Linked DNA regions of Ovis aries. The protein of the gene in region 1 binds, or shares a complex with, the protein of each later gene. Links are inferred from orthologs where the notes say so. Each region holds a gene or a part of one and is shown on either strand. Other genes may lie near its edges.

Region 1 (15,341 bases):
TTTATTAACTTGTTGTTTCCCTCCCTACTTCATCTATTTCTGCTCTTCTATTATTTCCTTTCCTGTTCCTGAGGTTTGCTCTGGTGGTCTTTTTCCAACTTCTTGTATAATTTATATGACAAAATGCCCAGATTTTAATTATATAGCTTATTGAATGTATACATAGTTATACACACATATGACCAGCACCCCAGTCAAATACAGAACATTTCATTTTTCTAGAAAGCTGCTTTGCAACTCTTTCCAGTAAGTCCAGAAAATCTATCACCACAAATGTGCTGAGAACTCGATACAAACAAAACAGTAAACAATGTACTTCTTTTGTATCTTTTTTTACTCGTTTGTAGTTCATTTGTGTTGATTTTTGTATCAGTGATTTTGTCACTTTTTATTGCCAGTTTATATTCTGTTATATGAATATACCACAATTTATCCATTTCCCTCTTGCTGGATGTTTGGGTTGTTCCCATTTTGTGGTTACTCTGAACACAGCTGCTGTGAATACATGTAACAAGTCCTTTTGTTGACATGTTTGCATTTATTTGGGATAAACATCTAAGAATAGAATTTCTTGTTTACAGGGTAACCTTATGTGTACCTTTTTATGAAACAGCCATATTCCAGAGTGGCTGTACCACTGACTATTGCCAGCCATGTATGAGGCTTCCTTGACATGGGATTCCTGGGGGCTAAACTCTAGGGAACCGCAACAGGGAAGGGAACATGGGGGTGTCTCCAGACTGAAAGCCACCCTTTCACGTGGCCTCTTTCTGTTCCTATTTCCTCTCCCTTTCCCACTAGGCCAACACCCCCACCCCAGATCAGCACCATCCCACTTCTAGGGGTCCCCATCTTTCTCACCTGTCCCTGCCACTGGTGTAGGTTGATGTCTCAATGCAGACTATTAAGTGGGGGAGGGGCTTTGAGCCAATTGCTCTTCCTACACCACCTCCCTTCCTGTCTCATAAGCTTGTATGTTTGGGGGAGGGGCGGTTCCTGGCCCTGTTGCACAGCCCAGCCCCCTAAAGCCCAGAGAGGGCAGGCCCAGCTTTGTGTTCTGCTGTATTCAGACCTGTGCTGAGAGCACACACATGTATTTGTGAACCACAGGGTGCAGAACGGTTAGCATGACCGGAACAGTAGGGCACTGTGGTAAAAGCCATGGAGAAGACTGGGATGTGGGAGGGCCCAAATGGTGGGGCATCCCTGGGACCTGGGTTTGGCGGGTTGACTTCTCTATCTCCACGCCTCTGGGGTCATCAGCTCGTTGAGAGCACCGGGCCCACTGGGGCCAGAGTGCCCATCATCATTCACTTAGAAATGCCCTCAAGCACGGTCCCCAGACCTAGGGAGGGCCAAGTACAGTTTAGCCTCGTGACTGTACAGCAAGTGTAGCTGTGGGGTGGCGAGGCCAGGGGGTGGGGGTTCCTCGTCCTATTTCTGATCTGGAGGGACAAGCCCAACAGTACCCTGGTGGTGCTTGACTTCCTGGTACAGTCTAACCTGCTGGACCCGAAATGGTGAGGCGCTGTGACCAGGATCTTGCATGTTGGGGCACAAGCCAGAACACCATGTCTTGCTACCAACCCTCACCAAGCTGGGAGCCACCATGAAAATCACTGTGAATGCCACCACTGCCAACCACCTCAGCCTGACAAAGCCTTGTCTATCTGTGTTTATGTCCCCATGTCTGCATGGGCCACAGAGCACTCTGGGACATGAGAAAGAGACACAAGCTGCGGACTTTTCAGCTTTTATTACAAAAACAAGGGTGATTCCAGCCCAGTTTTCCAATAAAAGTCTGCAACTCAAAGTTTGACTTGGTCACAGCTTCTCTGGCTGGGGAGTAGGGCTGGTAGACAGGTGCAAGGCTTCGCTTTAACCACCCAATATTTCATTTTCCCCCGCCCCACGCTGGACACCTGATGCAAGTATAAGTAGGTCTTGCAGCTGTTCACTGGGCCTCGTTGAAGCGGGTCACCATTGTCTTGTGCAGCGTCTCCTTGTAGGACTCAGTTGACGTGACCCCATAGGAGCTGCCTCGGGCACCCAAGCCAGAGCCCCGCACCCGTGTCTGGGCCTGTGTGAAGGAGGCAGACTCTGTTAGTCAGTCAAGGCTACAGTGGAGAGCACTGGAGGATGGGCAAGGGATCCCAGCAGGCTCACCTCAATGGGAGTCACAATGCCCTGCTTCTTGCGGCCCAGGCCACTGCCCTCTTTCCAGCCCATGGCTTGGAGCATGCGACTGCCAATATTGTCACTGCCCAGCCCATCCCGCGTGGGCTGCTCAAAGTCCCTGCAGGGGACAGGGGCACAGTGTGAGTGGCAGACCTGCTGGCCCCACGCCCCCCACCTGGCCCTGGACACTCACACGGAGGCCGCAGACATGCTGCTGTACTTTCTCCTCTTGGGCTCCGGTGGCTCAGGGATGCCGTACTTCTCTCTGCGTTCAGCTGCGCGGTCCCGGTACTTCATTTGCTGAAACAGTGTATATGTGTGAGAATGAAGGGGCTGACAGCTCTTTGCAGGAAACATGGGCACAGCTGGGGTCAGGGGGCCCACAGGGAATCAGATCTGGCCAACAGGTCTGAGGTCCTGCAGCTACCAGCCGCCCGCCAACACGGGGTAGTTGGGAAGAAGCTCGTGCATGGCGACAGATGTGAGGTGGCTGATGGCAGCCAGGCTGTGTCTAGCTGAGGAACTTGCCCGCACCAGTTGCCTGCATGACAGATGGGGTGCTTGGCAAGGGACCGACGGATGGAGCCGGGGAGTGGGTCACACCTCACCTCCATGTCATTCTTCTCAAGTGCCTCCAGCTCGTTTTCTGACAGGTGGGCTCGCCGGTGAATCTCAAGGTTTTGCTGTAAAGGAGGACAGGAGGAGAGTGAAGCGGTTGGGCCAGGCCAGGCTGGGGTTCCCTGCCAGGCCTCCCTCAGTCACCTTGTGGAGCCCGGAGAGCTGCTGGTGCCGGATGAGCGCCTCCTTGCTGGGGAACTGGCGCCGGCAAAGCAGACAGGCCAGCTTCTGCCAGTCGGTGAGCTTCTCCTCCCGCTCTGGGCCCCCGCGTTCCTGCTCCTCCTCACTGTCACTCTCCCCACTGTAGGCTGCCACCAGCCCCCTAGGTGGGCTCTGGAAAAGGGGAAGGCAAGAGGTCAGGCTTGGCTAGTTCACAGCCCCCCACCCTTCTTTCTGCCCCAGGCACTCACTGGGCGGTCATCGCTGGCCAGTTTGGGGAGGTCCATGCTGGTGTGCTGTCTCTCAGCTAGTGCTCCCTGGGGTGGAAAAATGGAAGTGTTAGTTGCTCTGTCATGTCCGATTCTTTGCAACGCCATGGACTATAGCCCGCCAGGCTCCTCTGTCCATGGGATTCTCCAGGGAAGAATACTGGAGTGGATTGCCATGCCCTCCTTTAGGAGATCTTCCCGACTCAGCGATGGAACCCATGTCTCCTGCATTGGAGGCAGATTCTTTACCATCTGAAGCACCAGGGGTGGAGGGACAGGGAAATTCAGGGACTCCACAGAAGGACCAAAGGGATGACAAGCCTGGGGACAGAGCACAAATGGATGGCCACAACACACCTTCTTCTCGAGGATGGCGTAGCCTGCATCGGCGGTGGCTGACTCTCGCCTTTCATCATCTCGCAAGTTGCTGATGGGCTGGAAGCTGTTTTTGAAGTTTTCTTTTTGTTTGTTGAGGCTGCGGGCCCAGCGTTCCATGTCCTTTGCAATCTAGGGATGAGGGTGGTGGTGGGGTGAGGCTCCTAGGAATCTACCAACTGCTGGGGTCACCAACTCCAACCACTGCCCTTGTAGCAGCCCACCCCTTCCTGCCCTGCAGCCTCAAGTGGAAGGACAGAGAGGCAGAGGTTAAAGTCCCCATTTCTCTGTCATCCTGTCATTAGTGCTCCTCAGCAAGCCCCTCCCTTGCTGTGTCCCTATTCTCCTCACAGGTGTCCATGCTATTAGGGTCGCTGTGAGTTTTCATCATTCTGAAATGCACAGAATGGCTTGCTCGGCATACAATTTTAATTAACAGGTGTGATTCTATGCCACATTTTGTATTGATGCCCAATCCCTACCCAGGCACACCATCAGTTTTAGAATTTACCAGGCTATCAAGGGAACACGAAGTTCTTGCTTCTAAGTGTTGCACCCAGACTGTCACACTCTTCCTCCTCAGAGAAGACATGGAGGTTCCCTCCAACTGCCCACTACCACAGAACACTGCAATGGCTGTTTTCCTGCCCACCCCCTGATGGGCCTGGAAGAAGTTCTCTGGCATGTGTATACACAGACAGATGAATACACACCATCAGGTGGGGTTCTGGGCCCACAGGAGCAGACTTGTGCATCTGTTTCCCTAGGCAGGGTTAGCCTGGCTACAGGTGTGCCCAGACCAGCCCACACTGTCACCAACAGCACAAAGGTTCCCACCAGGGGACAGGATAGTTGATAGGCTGCACTTGGATGGCAGTGGCCACCTCAGGAAGGTGGGCAGCCTGACTGGGTACCGAGGAGATGGCCCTGGCTCAAGATCACACAGCGCAGAGCAGAGCCGGACCAGGAGCCGGGTCTCTCTCAAGCACAGATACTACCCAGAAGACACCTAATGGACAGTGACTGCTGGGCTCCCAGTGTTCACCTGTTGGGCCGTCTTAGTCTTGTGCTTTTCCTTCTTCTCTTTGCCCTCCTTGGAGGGCGCTCCTGTCTCCTTATGCCCGTCAGCTGACTGCTCCAGGGCAGGGACGTAGGTCCGCCTCTCCCCATCCCAGTACAGGTACTGCTGGCTCTGGGCATTGTAGTAGTACTGGGGTGATGGGAGAAGGGACGTGAGGGAGGACTGAGATGCCGTGGAGCAGACGCCACCCCCTCCCCTCCCAGGCCGCCCCATCACCTGAGAGTTGGGATCATAGTAGAGGCCCGTCTGGGGGTCGTAGTAGTAACCAGATGTCTCATCGTACTGGTAGGTGGAGACGTCAGGAACAGCTGGGGAGTGACAAGTGTGTGGGAGGGATGTCACACACCTCACTGCTTTGTGAAGGAGCCCCCTGCCCCTCGGTGCAGGCTGTGGCTACTCACGGTACTGGCTGTAGGACTCCTGGGCAGAGGGACTCGTGGCTGGTGGCAGGGTAGAGCTGGGATGGGTGGGACTCTGGAGCTCTGACTTGAGCACAGCAGGTGATATGATGGTGTATGACTGGTCATGGGGGCAAGAACAGGGAACAAGGCTCAGTGTCTGCCAGTGACCCCATGTCACCCAGGAGCCCCCCAAGGACCCTTCCCCCTTGATTTCCCTCACCTGGCTGTTGGCAGCGCCCTGGCTCCCGCTTGCTTCAGCTGCTGACTGCTGGTAGACACCAGGAGTGGCACCAGGCTGGGCACGGGAGAAAGCCTGTAGGGACACAGAGTCCACCCCAGGCTCCAGGGAGGTCTCGGGACCTGGGAAGGGCAACAGAGAAGAGAAAATGTGAATGGCAGGACCCAGGACCCTAGGCCTGCCAGTCCCCACCGTGGGTTTGGGGGAGACGCTGAGGCTTACCTGCTCCAGCCGGGTCCCCTTTGGTTCCGGTGATGCCAGGGCCCTTTGCGCCCTTGAGGTAGCCATGGGCATAGAGAGAGGACTCTGTGCCCTGGCTGCCGCCATAGCCCTCATCCTGTTGGTAGTAGCTGTAGTCGACCGTTGGCTCCTCGGGGGTGGCCCAGGCACCCTCCCCACCCTGGGAGGCCTGAGGGGCAGGTGGGAGGGGCTCATTAGCAGAGGAGGTGGGGTAGAGGGGAGGGGAACCGGCTAAGAGGCATGTGCCCACAAGGGAAGCTAGTGTCTGTCTGCTGACAGAAACCATGCAGCCTTCAGACAAGAACACCGGGCCACAGCGGAGCGGGGTGGTGACAAAAACAAGACTGGAACAAAGACACGTGCCAAAACACTCCCAGAGCTGACATTGCTAGATGCGCTGTGTGTTATATGGGTTGGGGGGTCAGACCAGGGAAGATGCCATCCTCCCCGCCTATATTTTCCTCTCCCAATTTTCTTACAGCCACTTCTAAGTTCCCTTTTATCAAAAAAAGTTGAAACAATTCACAATGACACATGAGCACCAAACAGAAGAGAAAAGCGGCTGCGTGGCCCTGGAAAGGGAAGCCTGGGAGGAGGGGCTGGGGAATGGAGCTGCCATGAGGCCCCTGCAGCCCACACCGGCAACCATCGGGAGAGGGTTTCTGGTCCACGGGAAGCCGCTACAGCAAGGCAGCCCTCCTGTTTGCAGAGAGGGAGCGGGAGGGTGGAGGTGGCCCAGGTATGGGGGAGCTGGGGTGGAGGGGAGTCTCTGAGTACCTGTGAGATGGCCCACTGGGCCGCGGCAATGGCAGTGCTGGCCACAGAGGCAGCATTGATGCGACTGCCTTCGTTGGAGGCCATATCCCTGGGGAGGATGTCAGAGACTGGAAGTGAGACAGGAGGCCCCAGGCTGGGGGGCAGGCTGAGAAGGGACACAGGTGGGGCCCTGACCTCTTAGAACCCTTGGCAAACTCGACGTTGATGGTCTTGCCGTCGATGGTAAGTGGTGGGTGTAAGGCCTGCAGGATCTGTAGCAGCTGGGCTGCCTCCTGGGGGTGGGCAGGGCAGAAGGGTCAGGCCCGGGGAGGCCCCCGGCTCCATTGCCCCATTTCCAGGTTTGGGGCCGCGGTTGGGGAGCTAGGGTCAGTGTCCCTCCTCCCTGCCCTGGGGGCCGGGACTCTGGCTGCCCGGCCCCCCCCTGTGCCGCCCTCACCACGATGGTGGAGAGCTGGATAAAGGCGAAGCCACGGTTCAGTTGGGTCTGCTTGTCCTTGATGACGCGTACATTGGAGGAGGACAGCACTGCGTAGGGTGCCAGGGCCCCCAGGATGGAGTCCATGGTGCTATGCGGGTTCAGGTTGCGCAAAATGATGGCTGTGGGAAGGGACTCAACATTAGGGAGCACCAATAACCCCCTCCAGCCCTGCCCTCTGCTGGCTCCCCACTGCTTCCTCTCCCTGGCCTCCATGTTTTTGTACCTGTTGCTTCCTCCCACCTCTTCCTCTCTGCTTGTCGGCCCAAGTCCCAGCTCAGCCACTTGCCTGGAGAGAATCGTCTCAACACACCCTTCAAGTAGAGTTTGGTAATGCTCTTCTTCTGCTCTCCCTACATTATGTGTCTGACTCCAAACCCGGTGGACCCCTGGGAAGACTAAGTCCTGGTCACCACCGTCTCTCTGGCCTCAGGGAACCCAGCCTAGACACCCTAAGGCAGAGAGGAAGGAGCAATGGACTCACTGTCATTGGCATTCTCCGAGCTTGGCTCCGAGCCCTGTGACAGGGCCTGGGAGGCCAGCACTCCCTGGGCCTGGTAGGGCTGTGGCAGGGGCAGCAGGCCCTGGCTTAGCTCCCGACCCCCCAGCGGCAGCGTCTGCTGATCCAACCTCGCGCCCAGGGGCAGCTTCTGCTCCGCCTCTGCTAGGGGCATCAGGAGAGAGACTGGTGACAAACTGGAAGGCGCTCCCAGGCAGGTCACCCTCCTTCCAGAGCTGTGACCTTCACCCTTCGCCCCTCTCCCCACAATGTCCCAAGGAAGAGGGAGGTAGGAAGGCCGTACCTGACTTGGGCACCCCACATTTGAAGCACTTCTCACGGCGTTTGAAGTTCTGGACGCCACACTGTGAGGCACAGGCCAGGCTGTCAGAGGCAGCAGGGGGTGGGGGGTGGGGGCTTTCCATTGCACCCTCCAAATGTGGATCCAGAAATCTTCCAGGGATCCCACCATGCCCCAGGAAGGTCCCAGGGTCAGGGGAGGGGGGAGCAAAGGGCTTTGGGGAATGGCTGTCATTCTCAGACACACGACTCTTTACATGGTTTCAAATTTCTCCTCAGCGCCCACCCCTCAACTCAGGAGTCCGTAACCCACCCCCTACCTCTGTTACCAACTGCTGTCTCCTCCAAGGGACCAGCTCAGAGACGTTTCCGCCTCCAAAGTCCTTTTAGTAGGTTCCTCTTCCCAGAACGTACTTTCCTTCTCAGAAACCTTCATCACTTTTCTATCCTTAAAAAGTCAGTAGCCCCTCTCCTGCCAGGCCTCACCCCTTCATCTCGAGGTTGGATCTTGCCACTCTTGAGAAATAAATCTGCCTTGGGCATTGCAGCCTCTGGAGACCCCCAGTTTTCACCACATTTCGGTCTCTGATCCGCGGTCAAGTCCTGAGCACTGTTCCCATGCCAGGCTCTCCGCAGCATGCGGCCTAACAGTAGGGAGCGGATGTAGCACAGAGGTGCAGCAGGTCAGTCTGGAAATGGTCACCACCAGGGACTCCAGGAGAGGAGTGGGCCTTGAGGCCCAGCTTACTCAGCTGGGTATAGTCCGCATGGCTGTTTCACCTGGGAGGCCCAGAGGTTTGGTTTTGCTGGGAAGCACTTGCTAGCAGAGGACACAAGACATTTTGTGTAGCTGGTGTAGGAGGGTGGAGAGAAAGGCAAAAGCCAAGGCTAGAGAAGGTGACATTAAATCCCAGAGGAGCGTCACACTCACGTTCAGATATGTGCAGGTTTTTGGCAGAGTTGGAGGGACATGGTCAGAAGTGGGTGTGAGGAATGCCAAAGGTGAGGGAGTGGGAGACAGGCAAGAGGCCAGAAAACCAGAGAGGGGCCCATGGTGACTGTCTGGAGGAGGGGTGAGGACCAGCCTGCACAGTGAGAATGGCAATGGAAGGTGTTTGTGTGATGGACGTGACAAGACCAGAGAGCAATAGGATGTGGTAGATAAAGGAGAGGAAAGAACAGACTGCCCTAGTTTTAAGGAGCATCTGAAAATACAGGAGAGATGGAGTGAGTCCTCCTGTCACTCTCTCCAGAGAGGCTGGACATCTGCCTTCTGGTATTACTCTTTTCATTTTCAAACAAAGAGGCCCCCCTCCCCCACTTTACTGGGCAGAGTTCTTCTTGGGGAGAGGCTTGGGGGCCCCTGCAAGCTCTCAGGACTTAGGTCTCAGGGCTGTCAGCCGGCTGCAGAAGGTGAGGTTGGCCTAAGGGGGGACCCGAACCCACGGTGGCACCCATAGCCTATGATTAGGAATAAGACGCAGCTCGAGGTTCCATCTCTCTGAGCCTCAGCCTCCTCCCAGGGAACATGAGCGCAAAGACCTACAGCTTGTACAGTCAGTCTCTGTGGACCTGGCTCTGTCAGGGGTTGGGTCATCTGACACAAGCTCTCAGAACACCCTACACATTATTTAGGACAGCAGCTGACAGGTGCTGTTCCAAGTGCTACCCTCTCATCACTGCATTTCAATCCTTCTGACCACCTCTGGGTATTTAGTATTTGTGTTTTCGAGATGGGGAGAGTGAGGCAAAGAGAGGTTAATACTCTGACCTCAAGGGGGATTTTGAGGGAGTCTAATTTCAGCCAGTCTGGCCCTGATGCCCACTTTTCATACACCATGTTATGCTTCACCGTCACTAGTCACTCACATAAACGTCTATGTGACATCTATTGGGGCCTCAGGCAATATCGTGCTGCATGAGGGCAGAGCCTGGCACTGAGTGAAAGCTCAGTATGAATTGGCAGCTGGCTGGGTGGACGAGGAGGGGAGTCGTGGGGGAGGCAATGAGCGGTGCTGCCGGAGCTGGGCCAGTTCCTCCATGCCCGCACCACTCAGAGGCCCCAGGGAGACAGACATGTTGCCACCCCTGCCGCGGCTGTCTCAATCCATGGCACTTGCTGCCCACTGCCCCTGTACCTTATTACACAGCCAGTCCTCATTGATCTTGGGCTTGGGGTCGCTGTAGTGCATGGATACCTTCTGGCCCAGGATGTTGAGGGAGTGCTGCGGGGAAAAGCAGAGCACAGTGAGGCCTGGGCAGCAGTGCCCCACGCACCGTTTCAGCACAGGAGAAGAGAGTGAGCGAGCCCTTCAGCTGGATGGATGAGGGACAGGGAACGGAGGGAGGTCGGAGAACTGACAAGGGAAGAAGGAAGGGAAGGAGGGAGGGAAAGAGCCACAGCCCTCGGGCGCAGCTGTTTGCTGCCTTTCCGGGCACGCACACGTGAACACACTCCACCAGGCATACAGTGCTCGGCTGCCCGAAGCTTGCCGGACAGTGCGGCAAACCCCCACTCAGCCCTAACACTGCCAGGCCACACCCAGGGCCAGCACTACACAGGCTACACTTGGGATGAAGGGGACAGGGAGGGGAGGGAGAGGAGGGGAGAGAAAGAGAGAGAGAGCGCACGCGCGCTAGTGCTGGAGAAGGGGAGAAAGAAAGAGCCATATTTAAAAGATGGACGGTCCTGCAGTGAAGCTGTCTTCCCGTGGCCAGCTGGGTCCTTGGGCCCACTAGCCTGTGGACCAGCAGAGATGGCCCCAGGGCCGCCATATTGCCCCATTCCCCTTCCCCCGGCCCGAGGCACAGTGCCCCATAGCAGTCAGCTGGGCTCTGGGTGGGTGAGCAGAAGCTTTGGGTCTCTGAAGGTCCCAAAGCTGTTGGGTTAGGAGCCCATGCCAGGCTGGGGGAGTGAGCTCCCCTCCCTTCCGGACAGCAAGACTCCTTGCTGGGAGGGCAGGCCTGTCCCCAGTGGAGACTCCTGGGCAGGCCAGGTGCAGTGGGAGGGGTGGGGCACCAAAGTGAGTCCTGGTGAATGAAACTATGACCCCTGACTGGTACTTTAGGTCAATAGAATCCTGCTGGCCTGTCCTATGGAAATCACAGGGCCAAGCTCACAGGGAGAGAGCTGGCAAAACAGGACTTGCTAATTAGTAATGCCAACAACTAAGTTTCCCCAGCGGCTGGACTTGCAGTGGTGCCTGAGTGAAACAAAGTCCTGGCTCTGCCTCACCCCAGGGCAGGGTGGTCCCCCGGGGAGTGGGCACCTGGGTGGAAGAACCCCCCTACCACCCCCAAGGCAGCCCTTCCTCTTAAAACTCAGCTGGGAGAGGAGGAGAGGCAGAGCTAGCGCCTGACCAGAGGGAAGGGCCAGTGGCAAGTGTGGGCTCTTAATGGGAAGCCCAGTGGGTAGCGAGAGACAGGAAGAGGAGATAGTGAGGGTCAGGAAGGGGTAGAGAGAGGGGTTGGGGGGGATGAGACACAGGACCACAGGGCAGGGAACTGTGTCCGTAAGAATCAGGCGATGGGGAGCGCTCGATTACAAAGTAGTATTTGTTTGGGGGGGGGTTCAAGTGCGGCAAAGCAACCTGATTGGCTTCCATCCATCGTGTAGCGTCCTGCAAGTGACTAAACTCGACGAAGGCGAAGCCCCGGCTCTGACCTGGAGACAGCATTCAGATACAGACGCAGTGGGTTAGTCAACAGCTTTGGACACACGGCGTTCCCGGGGGCGGGACCCGAGGGGAGAGGACTGGGGGTGGGGGGCAGAGAGGGAAGTGGAGAGAGGAAAAAGGAAGAAAGGGAGAGAGAAAAGCAAAGAGAGAAAGACCAGGATGTGGGAGGCCAGGGAGATGGTCGGTAGGGGCAGGAAGGAGGGAAGAAGGGAGGCAGGAAAACACAGCCGGAGAGGAGTTGGGGGCGGGGGATACACACACGGTAGCTGGGAAGAAAGACAGAGATGGGGGCTCAGGCACACCTGCCCAGACAGCCTGGGGAGACAGAGACGGAGAGAAGGAGCTGGGAGGGAAAAAGTACAAGGAGAGGTCTGTCTCCAGAAAAGGAAGGAGGGCAGAGGGGCAGGCTGATGGTTTCACCTGGGCCAGAATCACCAACTGGAATGGTGATGCCCAGCACGAGGCCAGGGTAGTCCAGGAGGGGGTCCCACAACAGGTGTGTAATGGAAGGAGCAAAAGAGAAGCGGGGCTAGGCTGCTTGGTGAGGCTGGAGAGGCTCCAGGACCATCAGGAACCAGGGGAAGTCAGGGACACAATGTTCCCCTCAGCCTCACCACCATGCAGGGAAGGTGGGACTCCCCAGGGAGCCACCTCAGGGCCAAGCTGGGAAGACTATAGCCACCCCAGTCCAGGTCCTCCAAGATGGCAGGAGAATGGGGGCCAGGTAGTCCAAGGAGACCTTCAAGAATCTGTAGGGCCGTGGTAGGAGCACCCGGGGCCACAGAGGGGGCCTGGGACACCACCCCGGGGAGACCAGAATCCTGCCAGCCTGGCTAGGGTGCAGCAGAGCAAGACCAACATGCTACCAAGAGAGACTCCAGGCCTGGCTGGGAGAAGGATCCAGGGCTTGAGGCCGCCAGAAAGCAGCTCCTCCTTTGGAGGTGCACACACTGGGAGAGCTTAGACACGGCGGGGCATGCTTGATCTCCAAAAGAATAACTGTTAGGATGCACAGGAGGATGAAATGGTATAATTACAGAGAGAGTGAGAGGTAGGGACAGAGAGATACACACACACACACACACACACACACACACACATATACACACACACACACACACAGATGGAGGAGTGGGGAGGAGACTGAAGATGGAGAGAGAAGCCCAGGCAGAGCGAGGCCTCACTGGGCCTGACTTGGGTAGCCTGGGCCGGAGATCCTGCAGAGACACCCCACCCCGCCCACTAACCTCAGGCCAGCTCCAAGCAGCCTGCAAGAGGGAGGGAGGGAACGAGCGAGGCCAGCGACCTGGGCTGTTCCTTGGGATGCACTCTTGGACAAGAGCCATCCCCTGCCTCCCCTCCTGGGACACATGGGTGGGACCTACTTTCTGGTCAGAGGCTGTTACCAGAACAGTGTCAGGGAGAGCAAGGAGCAGGGAAAGGAGAAGAAGAGGGAAGGAAGGGAGTCTACGAGGGGGACGGGGTACCGTCTCAGATTCTCAGAGTCCCACAGAGGACAATCCTGGAGCCTGGCCCTGGCCCTGCCCCCGGGGAGCACTCAGCGCAGCTCACAGCTGCACCCCCTCCCCGACAGGCCCGCATCAGAGGCTCCTGGCCAGAGCTGTGAGGAGGGTGGGAGGAGGGGTGAGAGAAGAGAGGATACCCCCAAGTGGCCCATTCCCAGCTGTGGCAGGAAGGCAGGGTGGGGAGGGTGGGGGAGAAGGCAGAGGCAGGAGGGAGACTCGGAGGCTGAGGCTGGCCAGCAGAAGGGGAGGGTACTGGAACGAAAGCTCACCTGAGGATTTGTTCCGCATCAGCCGGACCTCCCGCGCTTGGATGCCATGGGATTGCAGCTGGCCACGGATCTGTATGGGGTGATATGGATTGAGGCAGGCTCAGCACAAGGGGTCTGTCTGTGGGTACCAGGGGCTGGATGGAGGTCTCTGGGACCCCAAGGGGGTCACAGGGGTTGTGCACACACTGTATCCACTCCCTCTCTCAGGGATTCTCCCCCAGTGATCACAGCTCCGGCCCCCTACCAGTACCCAGTCTCAGCTTTCAGCCCCAGATTTGCAGAGGGAACCAAAGGAAGGAAGGGGTGGGCTGCAAGGTGAAGCATGGCAGTGTAAGGACCTTCAGAGGCAGAGAATGTCAAGAGCAAGTGAGCCAGCAGCTCAAGAATGGTGGGCATGGGTGGTCTGACAACGGGCTTGTTGCAGCCACAAAGCAAGGAAAGCTGGGGCGCAAACCTGGCCCTTCATGAATGGACTGCCCTCCAGCTTGCATCGAGAGAGACCCATGACACAAGCCCCAAACTGGGAAGGACTGGGGTCTGAGCAAAGCCCAGCCATGGGCACTAGATCACGAACAGAGTGGGAACTTGAGGTTGAGACCAAAAGGCACAGCTGTGGGGTATGGAAAGCTTCCTGGATGACCTACGCCAGGCGAAGTTGCAGATGCAACTTGGGATTTGGATCAGGTGAGGCAGGGTCCTGAGGCCAGTGGCACCTCTCGCCAACAACTGGATGCCTGTGCTGGGCACTCTGGACCAGTGGCTATAATGCCTCTGGGCCTCAGTGCCCTCACCAGGGTCAGCAACAGATTGGAGGTTCAACAGGCACACATGAGAATGGAGAAGAGAGAGACACAGGAGATCAGGATCACAATACTCAGGGAGGGCTCAGGAAACGGCTGGAACATGGGCTCTGGGGCTCAGCTGCCCAGGTTCAGACCCCAACTCTGCTCTGTCACTTGCTGGCTATGGGAACTGGGGCCAGCTGCCAGGGGCCTGGCCTCCTCATCCGTAGGATGAAAAACACAGAGGACCTTCCCTGTAAGGCGGCTGTGCATGTGGCCCACCATGTGACAGATCCTCCACAAATGGAAACATGCAGCTACTGCCTGACCCTGAACAGGGCAGGTGGGCCAGACCTGAGAGCTCTCAGACACACAGGTGGGGTTTTCTCTGCGACAGCACAGGCAGCCAGCAGGTTTCAGGGGAGAGCTGAGTGGAGCCTTCACAGGCCGTGAGGAGGAGGAGGAGAACTGGGTAGGGTAGTGAGGAGGCTATTCTAGTGGCCCACATGGGGTTTTCCTGCTCATGAAGGGAAGTTGGTACGGACAGGGAGGGAATGTCACACAGGCAGACGGGGTGGGAGGGCTGCAACAGCAGTGAAGGAAGGAGGACTCAAGGCTCTGTGGTTGTGCCAGTGAGGAGATCCGGGGCTGCTGGCAAAAGAGAGCAGGTGGTAGGGAATGAGAATAAAACCTCAGAAAATCCCATGGAGAGCCTCCCCAGCCTGCAGGGTCTCCACATCACAGCAATATCTGGCAGCGGGCCTGGTGAGCATTTGGCCTTTGATCGGCATATGCAGAAGGGATGATCACCAGCAGAATGCGTGGAAGGAATGCTCTATTCCCTCCCACAGCCACCGCTGCAGCTCCCTGGCCAAACCAGCCTGTGCCACACTCCTCCCTTCCAGACTAGGAGATGACGGGGCCTGCCCCGGGGGCAGAGCAGTGCTGGGGGACAGGGCTGGGGGGAGAAGGGCTGAAAGGTGCCGAGGAAGTGGGGGGTAAGGGAGGGGCTGAGGGCCCTGGAGGGGACCCAGCCTGGCCTCCTGCTCTGCCGCCTGCCCGGGGACATGGGGAGCACGTACGTCATCCTCAGTGGCTGCCTGTGGCAGCATCCTCAGCATGACGATGTTACTGGCCTTCTCCTCCTCCTCCTCCTCCTCCTCCTCCTCCTCCTCCTCCCCTTGCTCGGTCCGATAGTCCTGGTCCCGATAGTCGCCGTCTCGGGGGAAGCCTGGCGGGCCGGTAGGGCTGTGCCTGTGCCGCCGCCGCCGCCTACGCTGAGTCTCGGAGCCCGGGGAGGCCTCGTAGGAATCCTGGCCAACAGAATGAGACGAGAGACACCAGGCGGGCAGTCAGTCTGAGGGTGGGCCTAGGGGCTGGCCGCTGGCTCTCCGAGGCAGGCAGGCTCTGAAAGCCAGGGGTGGGCGGGCTCCGGCTAAAGGCTCGGGGCAGGCAAGGTGGGCAGGCCCTAAACTGC
Region 2 (15,801 bases), on another chromosome or scaffold:
GTAGACTGAAGTTGAAGAAAGTGGAGAAAACAACTAGACCATTCAGGTATGACCTAAATCAAATCCCTTATGACTATACAGTGGAAGTGAGAAATAGATTTAAGGTACTAGATCTGATAGACAGAGTGCCTGATGAACTACGGATAGAGGTTTGTGACATTGTACAGGAGACAGGAATCAAGACCATCCCCAAGAAAAAGAAATGCAAAAAAGCAAAGTGGCTGTTTGAGGAGGCCTTACAAATAGCTGTAGAAAGAAGAGAAGCGAAAAGCAAAGGAGAAAAGGAAAGATATAAGCATCTGAATGCAGAGTTCCAAAGAATAGCAAGGAGAGATAATGCAAAGAAATCAGCAATCAATGCAAAGATATAGAGGAAAATAACAGAATGGGAAAGACTAGAGATCTCTTCAAGAAAATTAGAGATACCAAGGGAACATTTCATGCAAAGATGGGCTCAATAAAGGACAGAAATGGTATGGACCTAACAGAAGCAGAAGATATTAAGAAGAGGTGGCAAGAATACACAGAAGAACTGTACAAAAAATTTCTTCACGACCCAGATAATCACGGTGGTGTGATCACTCATCTAGAGCCAGACATCCTGGAATGTGAAGTCAAGTGGGCCTTAGGAAGCATCACTATGAACAAAGCTAGTGGAGGTAATAGAATACCAGTTAAGCTATTTCAAATCTTGAAAGATGACACTGTGAAAGTGTTGCACTCATTATGCCAGCAAATTTGAAAAACTCAGCAGTGGCCAGAAGACTGGAAAAGGTCAGTTTCATCCCAATCCCAAAGAAAGGCAATGTCAAAGAATGCACAAACCACGGCACAATTGCACTCATCTCACACGCTAGTAAAGTAACGCTCAAAATTCTCCAAGCCAGGCTTCAGCAATACATGAACTGTGAAATTCCAGATGTTCAAGCTGGTTTGAGAAAAGGCAGAGGACCCAGAGATCAAATTGCCAACATCTGCTGGATCATCGAAAAAGCAAGAGAGTTCCAGAAAAATATCTATTTCTGCTTTATTGACTATGCCAAAGCCTTTGACTGTGTGGATCACAATCAACTGTGGGAAGTTCTGAAAAAGATGGGAATACCAGACCACTTGGCCTGCCTCTTCAGAAACCTGTATGCAGGTCAGGAAGCAACAGTTAGAACTGGACATGGAACAACAGACTGGTTTCAAATAGGAAAAGGAGTATGTCAAGTGGAAACAGTGTCAGACTTTATTTTTCTGGGCTCCAAAATCACTGCAGATGGTGATTGCAGCCATGAAATTAAAAGACGCTTACTCCTTGGAAGAAAAGTTATGACCAACCTAGATAGCATATTAAAAAGCAGAGACATTACTTTGCCAACAAAGGTCCATCTAGTCAAGGCTATGGTTTTTTCAGTGGTCATGTATGGAGGTCAGAGTTGGACTATAAAGAAAGCTTAGCGTCGAATTGATGCGTTTGAACTGTGGTGTTGGAGAAGACTCTTGAGAGTCCCTTGGACTGCAAGGAGATTCAACCAGTCCATGCTAAAGGATATCAACCCAGAATATTCATTGGAAGGGCTGATGTTGAAGCTAAAACTCCAATACTTTGGCCACCTGATGCAAAGAACTGACTCGTTTGAAAAGACCCTGATGCTGGGAAAGATTGAGGGCAGGAGGAGAAGGGGACAACAGAGGATAAGATGGTTGGATGGCATCACCGACTTGATGGACATGGGTTTGGGTGAACTCTGGGAGTTGGTGATGGACAGCGAGGACTGGCGTGCTGCGATTCATGGGGTCACAAAGAGTCGGACACGACTGAGTGACTGAACTGAACTAAACTGAGTGTGTATATGCCAACCTCCTAATTTATCCCTCCCCCACCATTCTGATTGGTAACCATAGTTTGTTTTCTGTGTGTGTCTTTTTCTATTTTTTAAATAGGTTCATTTATATCTTTTTTTAAATTCCACGTATAAGCGATATCATATGATATTTGTCTTTGTCTGTCTTACTTATTTTTGTATTCTTATAAGTACTCTTGAGCTTTTTTTGTCAGGGGGAAGGAAGGTATAGTTAAATTTACCAGAAGCAGTTTCATCCTTTCAGATCCTATCTTTATGCTCTGTGTGAATATCAATTTCTTCTAATTTTTCCCATTTTTTTTCTCCATATTAGCACAGGGCCTTCTATTTTGTAGTCCCTAGAATCTAGAACACTACTTTCAAATTTTAACTAATCAATATCTTCAAAAATGTGGTATAAGAGAGTATTCATTCTGGGATAAGTGCCTCCCCCTGTGATCCTAGAAGGATGGGGAATGTATTAATAGAACTTATTATATCATCTTGAAATTGCATGTTTGATAGATTTTATGAGAGCAACGAACGAGTCCATCTTTTTCAATGCCATTTCTCTGAGTACAGTAGGAATATAAGTATTTATGAACTCTGAATTTTTTATTCTAGATTCAAATGGGTGAGAAAATGAGTCTTTAAACAAATTGCAGAGTGTTTTTTTTTTTTTTTTGCAGAACTCTAGAACAAAGAATTTTAAATAATAGACTGGGCTTCAGGAATCCACTCAGGTTATATATGGGGTTATAGCTGTATCTCTGTAGGTGCATGCATGAGTGCTAAGTTGCTTTAGTTGTGTCTGACTTTTTGTGACACTATGGACTGTAGCCCACCAGGCTCCTCTTTCAGTGGGATTCTCCAGGCAAGAATACTGGAGTGGGTTGCCATGCCCTTCTCCAGGGGATCTTCTGGACACATGGACCAAACTCGTGTCTCCTGCAGCTCCTGAATTGCAGGTGGATTCTTAGGGGTTGGGCTAAAACTTCACAGAGCCTGTTTCACATAAGTCAGCAAAGCAGGAGCATAGTGTGGGTTATGTGTGGGGAGGCTTCAGGCTAGTCCCCCTATTTAAGAGGCCTTTACATTTAGAGGCCTTGCGGGCATACTTGAGTTCTGTGCAGGACTTCCTTTCCTTCTTTCCACATATATTTTAATGCCTAATGATGGTGGCACTGGGCCGGAAAGCCTTCAGTTCCTTGGTGCAAGAGATGCTGTTCTCATGGTGTTCTCTGTCATGGTCTAGTGTCATTTGATATCACGGGTGTCCAAGGTTCCCATCTGGCCTGCTATGTAAAGGTCAATAAAAGGCATCTATATTCTTTTGATTATCTGGGTATGCCCATCTTTCTATCTTACTGTAAATCACATCCAACAAATACCTCAGAATGCCTACTCTGTTACAAGCAAGCCAGCTACCACTAGAACTGGTCATTGGATAAGTCCTTTGGCAACAGGTAAAGCATCCTCACATGCACGTGACACCACCCTTATGGCAGAAAGCAAAGAGGAACTAAAGAACCTCTTGATGAAGGTGAAAGAGGAGAGTGGAAAAAGTTGGCCTAAAACTCAACATTCAAAAAACGATGATCATGGCATCTGGTTCCATCACTTCATAGCAAATAGATGGGGAAATAATGGAAACAGTGAGAGAGTTTATTTTCTTGGGCTCCAAAGTCACTGGAGATGGTGACAGCAGCCATGAAATTAAAAGACGCTTGCTCTTTGGAAGAAAAGCCATGACAAATCTAGACAGCATATTAAAAAGCAGAGACATTATTTTGCTGACAAAGGTCCATCTAGTCAAAGCTGTGGTTTTTCCAGTAGTCATGTATGGATGTGAAAGTTGAACATAGAAGGCTGAGCGCCAAAAAATTGATGCTTTTGAACTGTGGTGTTGGAGAAGACTCTTGAGAGTCCCTTGGACTGCAAGGAGATCAAACCAGTCAATTCTAAAGGAAATCAACCCTGAATATTCATAGGAAGGACTGATGCTGAAGCTGAAGCTCCAATACTTTGGCCACCTGAAGTGAAGAGTCAACTCACTAGAAAAGACCCTGATGACGGGAAAGATTGAAAGCAGGAGGAGAAGGGGACAACAGAGGACAAGATGGTTGGATGGCATCACTAACTCAATGGACATGAGTTCACGCAAGCTCCAGGATGTGGTGAAGGACAGGGAAGCCTGGCATGCAAAATTCCATGAGGTCACAAAGAGTTGGACATGTCTGAGCGACTGAACAACAACAACAACAACAACAACAAAGCATCTGCAGGTTGACCTAAGGATGGGGCACTATACAGTTTCTGAGCACTGGACACCGGATCTTCCTCTGTGATAAACTTTGCCTCCATCTTCTGCCATCACATTCATAATACAGCTCATCTATGGCTTGAGCATAAACAAAAATGAGATGGAAAAAACTCACAACAGTGTCGGAAGAGGACTCATTCCATGAATCGATTGACTCATTCATCAGTATATTTACCAAGCACCTACTGTGTGTCAGACACTTTGCTGAATGATGATAGTATAAGGACTAGTGAAAAGACTAGCAGATACAGTGCTTATTCTTAGTGAATTCATCAACCAACAGTGGAGGCAGACAAGTGAATGAACAGCTACAATAACGGCAGTGATCCAAGGGAGAATAATCCATAAGGCCAACATCTAATTTCTTGAGAAACCATAAATTATTTGAGAGAAATGGCATTTGTCTTTCACAGTTCCCAACTACATGATGTGTAGAGGGTAAGCACTCAGTAAAGAGTCAAGAGGCCTAGATTCTGGTCCCAGCTGTCTTTGACCAGCTATCTTTCCTTTCCATTAGTTATTTCAGTTTTCAGAGCCTGTTTCCTCATCTGTAGAACTCATCTGTAGATAATATCAGTCCGGATTAATTCACTGTGCAATTGTGAAAATTAGTGGTCATGAGAATGATATTTTAATTAATTGTAAAGATCTCTACAAAGTAAAATATGTAATCATAAGTTATACCCTTAATTTTTTTGATAAAACAGATGTTCAGCACTTCAATAAGTACTGAATAATTCCTTAAAAAAGAAAAAAAGGAAACGAAAGAAAACCAGCAGGTAAGGATCACTGTTGCCACCTTCACAGTTCAAAGCAGGTCTAATCTGATATTTTCAGCACTCTAGATAAAAATATTAGCTCTTCCCTGGTGGCTCAGACGGTAAAGATCCCCTGGAGGAGGACAGGGCAACCCACTCCAGTATTCTTGCCTGGAGAATTCTCATGGACTGTAGCCCACCAGGCTGTGTCCATGGGGTCGCAAAGAGTGGGACATAACTGAGGGACTAAGCAGCAGCAGATTATTATTATTATCCCCATTTTACAAATCAGAGGAGTGAGGCGCCAAAGAATTTATGCAAGAGCACAGTCTCTTCAAAACCCAAGCCTGCGCTGCTTGCCAAGGCTTTTGTTGAAGCTTAGTCTTTAAGATGTGCATGACTATTTCGGGATTTCTCAGCAAGAATACCGAAGTGGGTTGCCAGTTCCTACTCCAGAGGATCCAATGTAGGGATCGAACTGGCCTATCGCAACCGGATTCTTTAGCACTGAGCTGCTCCTCAACAAAACCCCAGAACCCCAGAACTCCTTAGCATCTTTTCTCCGAAACCCCGCTTCCCCAGCCTGGAAAGAACTGGCAGAGCCGTCGACTCCGCCCCATGACGTACATGGCCCCGCCTTCAGGCCCTCCACTTCTCGCGGGATCTCTCGGGAGGACGGCTGGGGTCAGGTCCCATCATGGCGGCTGAAGAGGCAGATGTGGATATCGAAGGGGACCTAGTGCCAGCGGCGGCACAGTCTGGGTGAGCAGTTGAGACTGGGCTTGCAGAGACGAGGAGGGGCACGGCAGTGAGGAGGTACCCTCTAAAGGCCGCGGTTCCGGCAAGGGCCGGGGGAGTGGAAAACTATCCCCTGGGCCAGGGTCTCCTGCCGGCCTGAGAGGCGCGCCTCGCCCATCCCGTCTGTGGGCTCCTCCTGAGCTCAGAGGGCGGGTACCGTAGACTAGCGTGGGACAGCCCATTTACCGGGATCCTGTGAGGGCGCTGACCGCGCCTAGCACATTGCATACTCTTAAGCAATTAGATTGCTTCTTCCCTTACTGCCACTCCAGAACCCGCCTCCTTGCCACCGCCCAAAAAATAATTAGAACAGGGGCGGTCCCTGGACAGAACCCAACTTAGGAATTCTTGTTCCCTCGCTTGCAGGCCGTGTGACCTTGGGCGTGTCGTTTTATCCCTACTAGCCTCTGGTTTCCTCTTCCACGTAGGGGTAGTTATGAAAAACTTCCCGACATGCAGCGTGATCTAAAAGAAAGGGGTGGGACTTAAGAGTTTGACAGCTGTGTATTGACCCAGCTAGATGGCACCCCACTCCGGTACTCTTGCCTGGAAAATCCCAGGGACGGAGGAGCCTGGTAGGCTGCAGCCCATGGGGTCGCGAAGAGTCGGACACGACTGAGCGACTTCCCTTTCACTTTTCACGTTCATACACTGGAGAAGGAAATGGCAACCCACTCCAGTGTTCTTGCCTGGAGAATCCCAGGGACGGGGGAGCCTGGTGGACTGCCGTCTGTGGGGTCACACAGAGTCGGACACGACTGAAGTGACTTAGCAGCAGCAGCAGTTACTAGCAGTGTGACTTTGGGCCTCAGACAACTCGTGTGTAAGCTGACTGTCATGTTATGTGCTTCGTACGGTTACTGTGAAGATCAAATGAAATGATTTGGGGATGTGCTCTAGTATAAGAGAGGTGCTCTGTAAGTGTTGTGTTCTTTACCTTCCCACCACGGATAGTATTTTGAGGACCCAGTGAGAGGTCACCATTTAGTACCAGTTCCTGCAGAGCAGGCCAGTGTGACTTTTAAAAAGCAGCCTCCAGCTTGAGATATCTAGCTGTTTGACTCCTTGCTTGCAGAGAAAGAAATTGATACATGCGGTTTTAAAGATGTGCTTTCAGAATTCTCTTTTAGTAATAGAAGAGGCTTAGACTGGTCAGGATCAGAAGACCTCAGTTCTCAACTCAGCCAGCTGTGTTGCTTATAACTATGAACAAGTTCATTAGAAGTCTCTACATTAAGCCAGGTAAAATTGTGAGGCTTAGACCATTTTTGACCTATAGAATAGCAATTTCACATGATCCAGCCTAATAATAGCACCTTTGTAAATTGTGAAGAAGAGTACCAACCCCTGTCCATGAGGGACTGAAACAGAGCCGTTTAAAGTTTTCCTGAACTTAAAACACTATAAAAATGAGAAGTAACTAAGTCTCCTTCAGCTGTTTAGACAAAACAGTACAAGTCTCTACAAATGAACAGAAAGCCTTTGATAACAGTCTTTCACATTTGTGTAGATCAAGTTAATCTTGACCGAGTGCTTTTGCATGCGTGGTTTGATTTACTTTCCACAATAAGTGTATGAAATAGGTGTGAGGGATTCTTATCTGAAGTTCAAGGCAGATGAGCTGCCCTTGGAAACACTAAAGATTATCTGAGAGCACTGACTCTTCCCCTTTTTCCATGGGTTTTTCTTTATTTTTATGATCGTGTTTTATTTCTCTTTTTCTTTTTTCTTTCCTTTTCTTATTGTTCTGTTTGAGCCCAAAGTCTGCTGATGGCACTTACAGTCACATTAGTCTCATGAAACCAGTAACTGGTTGTTGGTTCCTGATGGTCATCGTCATTGTCTCACACAATTCTGTAGAGCATCATGAACATTACAGTCTAGTGACAGTTGTTCCCTAGTGTTGGTACTCTAATCATGTGGAATTTGGTGTGAGTAAACACTTAGATGCCCCTCTGAATTTTTCAGTTATAGCTGATCATGACATCTTGAGGGTTAATTGAAAACACACTTTTAAGTCCTTGCTAAGTGCTGGTTACCAAGGTTAGAAGATGCATTGAAGTGTTTTGTTTCCCTTCTACCATTCTTTCTTATCCTCTGTTTCTTCTACTTGTTCTTTAAATCATAGTATTTCCAAGGAATTTTTGTCATAAGACTTCTTATTAACCATACAGTCCATCTCTCAAGGCTTAAATTTCTGTTTAAGTTGGACCATATGAAATTTTCCCAATGTTCTACCAATTTTGACCCACACAAATGACATTTAATCTTAAATTCCATCTAATAACAGGCTGATATTGCCCAAATCTGTCACCAACTCAAATCTCTCTCATGATCTTCAGATCCATTTATCCATTTTCCTGAATCTATTTGCCCTTGGGTGAGCCACAAGCTCCTCAATCTCACTTTATAGAAACTTTCCTTACCCAACCTGCCTCTTCAAGTTCCCTAGTTCAATAAATGGCACCATCCACCCACTCATGCAGGGAAGAGACCTAGATTTTAACCTTCTTCCTTACCTCTCTCCTATTAGAGAGTCTGTAGATTCTGAGTATCCTCTCAGATGTGTTCACTTCTTCCTGTTCACATTGCTTGTGCTTTAGGTCTAAGTTACTGTCACTTCTCTCTAGTATCTATGTAATCACTCCCTCTTAACTGCTTCTTGTCTCTTTGACCCTCTTCTAGTCTTTTCTGAAGTTAGAGTAGTCTTTTCTTACATCCAGATCTGATGATGGTACTCCCAACTCCCTAGAGACCTGTGTGATCCATACCCCACCTACCTGTTCATTCAGTCATTCAACAAATATTGATTAGCATTTATATGCCTAGCTCTGGGTTTATAGTACTCATCCAAACTAAGTCCTTGCTTTTATGGAACTCACATTCTTATTGGATGAGACAGAGAATAAACTTTATATTATAGCAGTTTCTAAGAGGTATAGCAGTTTCTAAGTATAGACTGGGAAAAGTCACTAACTAGGAAACTTTTATAACTTCAAAACATATAGAAGCAAATTTTAAATTTAATTATATCACAGATTGGGCCTCCTCAAACTTAACTATTCATATGAAGTGAACAATGTGACTTTCAGTTCAGTTCAGTCGCTCAGTCGAGTCTGACTCTTTGTGACCCCATGGACTGTAGCATGCCAGGATTCCCTGTCACCAACTCCCAGAGCTTACTCAAACTCATGTCCATCGAGTCAGTGATGCCATCCAACCATCTCATCCTCTGTCATCCCCTTCTCCCGACTTCAGTCTTTCCCAGCATCAGGGTCTTTTCCAATAAGTCAGCTCTTTGCATCAGGTGGCCAAGGTATTGGAGCTTGAGCTTCAGCTTCAGCATCTGTCCTTCCAATGAATATTCAGGACTGATTTCTTTAGGATGGACTGGTTGGATCTCCTTGCAGTCCAAGGGACTCTGAAGAGTTTTTTCCAGTACTGCAGTTCAAAAGCATCAATTCTTTGGCGCTCTGCTTTCTCTATAGTCCAATCTCACATCCATACATGACTACTGGAAAAACCATAGCTTTGACTAGACAAACCTTTGTTGGCAAAGTAATGTCTCTGTGTTTTAATATGCTGTCTGAGTTGGTCATAGCTTTTCTTCCAAGGAGCAAGATCTTTTAATTTCATGGGTGCAGTCACAATCTGCAGTGATTTTGGAGCCCCCCGAAATTAAGTCTCTAACTGTTTCCATTGTTTCCCCATTTAAATGGTGGAAGTAACTATGACTCTCTTAAGTGTGACTTTAGAGAGTTCTAATTAGTTAAAAGGCTGAGAATTAACAAAGTTGAATCCCTCATAGACATAGAAAAGCCCCCAGATAACTCAAGTTAATTTTTGTTATGTGAGTTAAAACAACAGATTTGTTAGATCTCTTCACTGTACTGTCCTCCTTCAAGTATTTTCTTTTGTTTCTTCTATTTCGTCTTGCTTTTTCTTCCATTTTGAGAGTGGTACTGTTAATGGGTGGCTTTTATGCTTTAGATATAACCAGGAGAGTCATAAAGTTGAATTCCTGTATAGATGTGCATATTCATCAAAAGAAATCTGAAATGTTGGTTCATAGCCACAGAATATGTTGTGTGTGGTTGCTGTTTGGACATAGTTTTTTCCTCATGGAGTTGTTTATTCTTGGGAGACAGAGAAGTAAACAAACTTGATATTTGGCAGTTGAAATAGGATGGAGAAAGGAACTAAATATTTGTTTACGTACGAAACCTGTCAGTCACTGTGCTGTGTAAATTATATTCATTAATTGGTATAATTTCACTTTTATACCTATTTTCTCAATTATTGCAGAAGTGATGAAAATACAGCATCAGTTTTACAAGATCATTATCTTGATTCATCATGGAGAACTGAGAATGGTCTTATTGTAAGTATTTTGTGGAAATATCAGGTATATTAAGCTATTACTCAGTGCGCAGAGTATCTCTCTCTCTCTCTCTCTTTTTTTAACTTGGTGCTAGTTCTCAGTGGTCACAGAGGTAAGACAGTGAAACCTTTTTCTTAAATTAAAAATAGAAGGAATTTATTCTTTTTTCCTTTGAAAAAATGGCCTTCTGGGAAACAACTTTGGAGCCAGCTAGATTTAGGCACAAATTGGTGCTCTACCACTTATCAGATTTATGAACCACAGTTTTTTCATCTAAAATATGGGGATTGTTGCATGATTCATTTCTTCATTTAACAGTTATTTATCGAGTCCTTGGGCTTCCCTGGTGACTCAGTAAAGGACCCCCTGCCATTGTGGGAGATGCGGGTTTGATCCCTGGGCAGGAAGATCCCCTGGAGGAGGAAATGGTGACCCACTCCAGTATTCTTGCTTGGGGAAGCCCATGGACAGAGGAGCCCGGCGGGCTACAGTCCATGGGTTCACAAAAGAGTCACACACAACTTAGCAACTGAACAACAACTATTGAATACTTACTATGTGCCAGACACCAGGCCAGGTTTGGGGGATTACAACCATAATCAAGACGGACATGGTGAGGGAAACTGAGAAGGTGACATTTAAGTTGAAAGTAGAAGTAGGGATGTGAAGAGTAGAGGAAAACTATATGCAGAAAGAACAGCAGCACAAAGGCTGTTGTTGAAATCCAGTATCTAGAATATAGTAGGAAAGGGGGAGAGGTGACAGGTTGGGGAGGCAAATGATGGCCCTGTCACACTAGCAGGAGGCAGGAAGAAAATGAAAAAGACTAGTTAGGAAACATTTCTAGGGACCTAAGCAAGATTCGGTGATGGCTTGGCCTCAGCTTGTGGCAGAAGTTGACAGATTTGAATTATGTTTGCGTGGTAGAAATGCTTGTTATATTGGGTTTGGGGATTGAAGGAAAAGGAAAGAATCCAGAATGATTTCTGGGTTTCAGGCTGGAATAGCTTGGTGACTAGTAATGCTGCTTACAAAATTGGGAAGGCAGGAGAAAAGCTGGTGAAGGTTATGCTTTGGTAAATTTTGTTTTGAACATGTGAAGTTTTAAGAAGCCTGTTAGGTATCCAAGTGGAAATTTTGAGTGGGTAGTTAGTTATAACCGTCTAAATAGAGCTTGGAAAAGAGACTTGGCTGAAAATGTTTACGTTTTGAGAGTTAAAAAGAAGTATGGAGAGATTGTGGCTTAAGGGGAAGAAAGGAATTGTGGTGAGTTTTGGAAATATTAATAGGTGAGGTATCTAGCAAAAGCTTAGTAGTATCTTAATTGTTCCTCATGCAGGATAACCATTATTACTTTATCATGAGTAGGAGCCAGAGCCTAGGAATCTAAGGCTCAAGTCTCTTCTTTCCCACTTAAAACGTTAGTTACTGCTTCTATGAATGCATCTGAAGTAGTGATGCCTGTCTCAGCATTATCGTAGGAGTCCAAAGATATGTCTGTGTTCTCGGTAAATGGTAGCTTTATTATTTGTAATCATATTATTGTGTATTTTCATTTAACAAAATAGTAATTGGTTTCAAAAAGCAGTAAATAAAAAAAATTATTCTTCCTTTTTTTTAATAGCCTTGGACTCTGGATAGCACCATCAGTGAAGAGAACAGAGCTGTCATTGAGAAAATGTTGTTGGAAGAAGAGTATCCTTTATTCACTATGAGGAAAGTAAAGATTTCAGGGTTAAAAATTCATTAATGCAAAACTTACAAAAGAGACCACTGTTAGTTGCTAGATGTAATGCTAGGGTATAATGTTACCTACCTATTCTGTTTTACCACTAAGTCTGAGATCTGACCCAATACTTTTGAGTTTCTGTTGTCAACCAACTCTTTCAGTTACCTTAATATTGGACAGAAATTATAGAGATTTTTTGGTTGTTGTTGTTTTGTTTTTATTTTTTATCTTTGCCATGCCACATGGCATGTGGGATCTTAGTTCCCAGGCCAGGGATTGAACCCATTCCCTCTTTAGGGAAAGTGTGAAGTCCTAACCGTGGACCAGCAGGGAATTTCCTATAGAGTGTTTTAAATCAGCTAGAATCCTTAGTTTAAGTCCAGATTTTCTAGTCCAGACCTCCCATTTTCAGTTGTATGAGATATTAATTCGTCCAAAGACACAGAATGAGAATATGTAAAAGTTCTCACTTCTTATTCTACTAATTTATAGGTGTTACTGGGGGCAATCTAAGTAAAAAAGACAAAACTATAGAATGAAGATTTTTTTCTCCCAGAAGTTGTAGGTCCTTATTCACAGTTCAGCCACTGGCTTCTTGCCCTGTTTCTTTCATCTGTTTGTGATATTTGCAACTTAAATTTTGGGGAACTCATATATTTTTTTACATGTAAAATAAAAGGATTGAATAAAAAGTTTTCTGATTTTCTGATTTATAAAGATTGTTAATATAACTCTAATTAAAGTAGTGAGTGGTTTGTTTTCAACTCTTCTGTGTTTCATGGATTTTTATCTCCTTTTTAAGCCAGAATTTCTGTTCCTTTTACTCCCAGTTATTGCTGTGTTGTTTTCAGGGTGTCTGTGTACCTTTAATTCTCATGGGTAACCCCCTTTTAGGCTTTCTTACTCTCCAGCCCTCCCCAAACATTACAGCTATAGCCTGGATCATCGCTTTTCAGTAGAAAAATAGTGCAAGTCACATATGTCCTTTATAGTTTTCTAGTAGCCATGTTTAAAACAGGGGAAATCAATTATAATAACATTTTATTTGACCCAGTATATTTAAAATATATTTCAACATTTAATATGTAAACATTGAAATGTTTTACATTCTTTGTTTTATACTCTTTGAAACCCAGTGTGCATTTTATATACTTAACAGTACATCTCAGTTTGTGCTAACCACATTTCAGGTATTCAGTAGCTACACATGTGGCTATTAGCCAATGTGTTGAACAGTGTCATTCTAGATTAATGAATATTTAGGAAGTCAGTGGTTCACTTCCAGACTTGGGAACAAAATAATGATAGTAAAAGCTGTGCGAGCTCTTGGATGAACAAGGATAATGCTTTCTTCTATCCTTGTCTTCAGCACCTGATATCTGCCATGATGCCTCGTGCACATGACACACAGTCAGTATTTGCTAAGTGAAGAATCTAAAAATATAACAGTATAGGCTAGGTTTAATCAATCTGAGAGGTAGATTTGACCCAAGCGTTCGTTATATTTGTTAGGGTAGAGAACAACCCTAAAGTCTTCTCTGTTACCTTCAGAAATGTGAAAGCAGATACTCCTGAATTATCCTGGACGACCAGTCAGCATCTGTTAATTCTCCATATGTGTTAGGAAAAAAGATTTAAATAAAACATTGAGGATATCTCTTTTCTTAGCCACTTCTAATAGGGAAGAAAGAGAAACTGGCATTTAGGTAGTACACATTTTGTGCAGATACTGTGTATGTATGACTTCACATGTAATATTTAATCCAGATAAAAACCCTATAAGATACAAACATTTTTGTTATAATTATTACACACCTGGAAAATTTTTTGAGAAGAATTGGTTTCACTTGAATTTAAGTGTGATTTTCAGGATATGTGAGTGCCTGCTTTATACAAATTGCATAATAATTATAGGACTTTATTATTGTTTTAAAAGTTTCTTTAATAATTACACAGGTATTACTTATCCAATAAGTCACTTCCAGGAAAATTCTGGCTTGATCAAAAGGAAGATGATAAAAAATACTTGAAGAGGTAAAATCAATTTATAATGCTTTTAAAAGTCTGAATTGTATTTTTAAAAACTTCACGGGTTTCCTTATTTTCTTTTTTCATGTGGTGCAGTCTGCAGAAAACAGCAAAAATCATGTATGTACTTACATTTTATACTTTAACATTTTTTGATTAGTTTAAAATTAGGGGAAAATTAAACAAGTTATAGTTGGCCTGTGGAAAAATCCTCTTGACCTTGGGTTTACACGATTATAAAATCAAAAATTTCTTGTACAAATGTTGGAATGTTACAAGATAATTTTATTGTATTATTTATTTGTCAGAACCTTTATGGCCCTACATAGGCAATTTTATTAAACTATGGGAAAGGTGGTTTTCTAGGGATTTGTGGGGAAAATTTTTTTAAGCTGCCCTCTAGTATATTATGAATTGACTTGATTTCTGTTGCCCTGTCAGTTAATTTTCATTTGTTTCAAATAAAACTTTAATTTGAATTTGTAGTTTTTAAAAATTATCTAGAGAAGTTAAGTATTAACTGTTTTATAAACATCCTTTCCCTATAATTGAAGAAGGTTTGATATTATTCAGTGTTTCTAAGCTTGCATGTTGATAATCCCTTAGAGGGTAGACTTGTAATTACCAAGAGTTTGAGCACTGAACAGACTGGCTTTTGCATTTTGGTGAACAAGCAACAACAACTAAAAAATGAAGTTAAAGAAAAGATTAATGGTTCACATCAATTAAATTAGTTGGCTTCATCTCAATTTTATTTTTAATTTCTTAATGTCCTGCATTTCAACAGCAATAATGATAGTGTCATAGTACTTTCACCTCTTTTCCGGCTTGATATTTACGTAGATTTACATAGAAGAATCAGATGGTATTTCTGGAGCCCGGTTTATCTCCGACAAGCCTCTCAAGTTTTGGAGATGTATTAACATTTGCTGCTTTGTGTCCAATCTAAGGAAGCCTATTTGTTATTTCCTTTGATGTCTTTTAGTGTTATCTTCACTCAGACCCAAGGATTATGTCTTTGGGGGCTCCTGTCCTGAGCTAGAGAAATATATAAGACAGGGTAAATCTGGTCCCCCAGGTAGAGGCTGCAGCCTGCTTTTTCTTCTCTTCTTTTTAATTCTTAGACTCAAAAAGTATTAAGTTTAGCCCATGGCTATCTATAACCTTTAGCTGCATAAATATGGAATGTTCCATTTCAGAAATTTTTTTGCAATTCCTCTTTTTCCCCTCAGGGTACACTCTCCTACAAAACCAGCCAGTTACTCAGTAAAGTGGACGATAGAAGAAAAAGAGCTGTTTGAACAAGGGCTGGTAAATAGAGCAATTTTTAATTTATAGTGAAATAATTCTAGAAGCAAATATTGATAGAATTATAAGGTTAATTTATAGAGACTGAAAATTTCATTTTAATTATAGTAATCACATTTATAGTTTTTCTGTAGTTAAATGATGTAGTTAGAATGATTATGTTTGTAGTGTAGTAGGAGAGAATTCCTTTTAACTCATACTTAAGTTACTAAAATATTAAAATATTGATAGATTTGACTCAATATTTTAGGTAGTTTTTCACCCCTTTTTTGGTACTAATAAAACCCAAGAAATTGTACTATATACGTTTTACCAACCACCTGTACTGAAAGGCAAACTTATTTATAATTACCTGATCTTTTCTCTTGGGGAAAAACTTGTATTTGGAACAGTCTGGGTGATCAGCTCAGTTTTTTTCAATTCCAATTTTGGCATTTGTGCACATAATCTAAATACTTTAATGGATATAGTTAAAGACCAGAAACATTCCTTTTGCATCAGTGTTTCACTGAGATCTATTTAAATATTCACAGTTGCATAATGGAAAAAAAAATGTACACAAGTTTCTAATTATGAGAAAGTGCCTTAATATAATGAAACTTAACAAAATATGCAGGAATTTTTTTAACTGTCTATAGTAGATTATT

Evidence for each region.
Region 2: RBM10 (region 1) and MYSM1 share a complex: the UniProt entries of both Homo sapiens proteins name them as parts of the large chromatin remodeling complex. The link is inferred for Ovis aries from reciprocal best matches to the Homo sapiens genes RBM10 and MYSM1.

The regions. Positions count from the first base shown.
Region 1 is NC_056080.1:57,632,078-57,647,418, forward strand, and holds the end of RBM10 (RNA-binding protein 10), read right to left. Parts: intron 15,178-15,341; coding exon 14,947-15,177; intron 13,153-14,946; coding exon 13,083-13,152; intron 11,275-13,082; coding exon 11,201-11,274; intron 9,836-11,200; coding exon 9,749-9,835; intron 7,676-9,748; coding exon 7,615-7,675; intron 7,476-7,614; coding exon 7,296-7,475; intron 6,934-7,295; coding exon 6,773-6,933; intron 6,609-6,772; coding exon 6,511-6,608; intron 6,425-6,510; coding exon 6,337-6,424; intron 5,729-6,336; coding exon 5,542-5,728; intron 5,442-5,541; coding exon 5,302-5,441; intron 5,200-5,301; coding exon 5,082-5,199; intron 4,989-5,081; coding exon 4,897-4,988; intron 4,810-4,896; coding exon 4,645-4,809; intron 3,732-4,644; coding exon 3,582-3,731; intron 3,273-3,581; coding exon 3,207-3,272; intron 3,130-3,206; coding exon 2,941-3,129; intron 2,862-2,940; coding exon 2,787-2,861; intron 2,479-2,786; coding exon 2,372-2,478; intron 2,297-2,371; coding exon 2,167-2,296; and 4 more. UniProt on the Homo sapiens protein: Binds to ssRNA containing the consensus sequence 5'-AGGUAA-3'. May be involved in post-transcriptional processing, most probably in mRNA splicing. Binds to RNA homopolymers, with a preference for poly(G) and poly(U) and little for poly(A).
Region 2 is NC_056054.1:33,404,050-33,419,850, reverse strand, and holds the start of MYSM1 (deubiquitinase MYSM1), read left to right. Parts: upstream 1-5,597; 5' UTR 5,598-5,607; coding exon 5,608-5,672; intron 5,673-10,013; coding exon 10,014-10,089; intron 10,090-11,713; coding exon 11,714-11,784; intron 11,785-13,774; coding exon 13,775-13,852; intron 13,853-13,942; coding exon 13,943-13,966; intron 13,967-15,078; coding exon 15,079-15,157; intron 15,158-15,801. UniProt on the Homo sapiens protein: Metalloprotease with deubiquitinase activity that plays important regulator roles in hematopoietic stem cell function, blood cell production and immune response.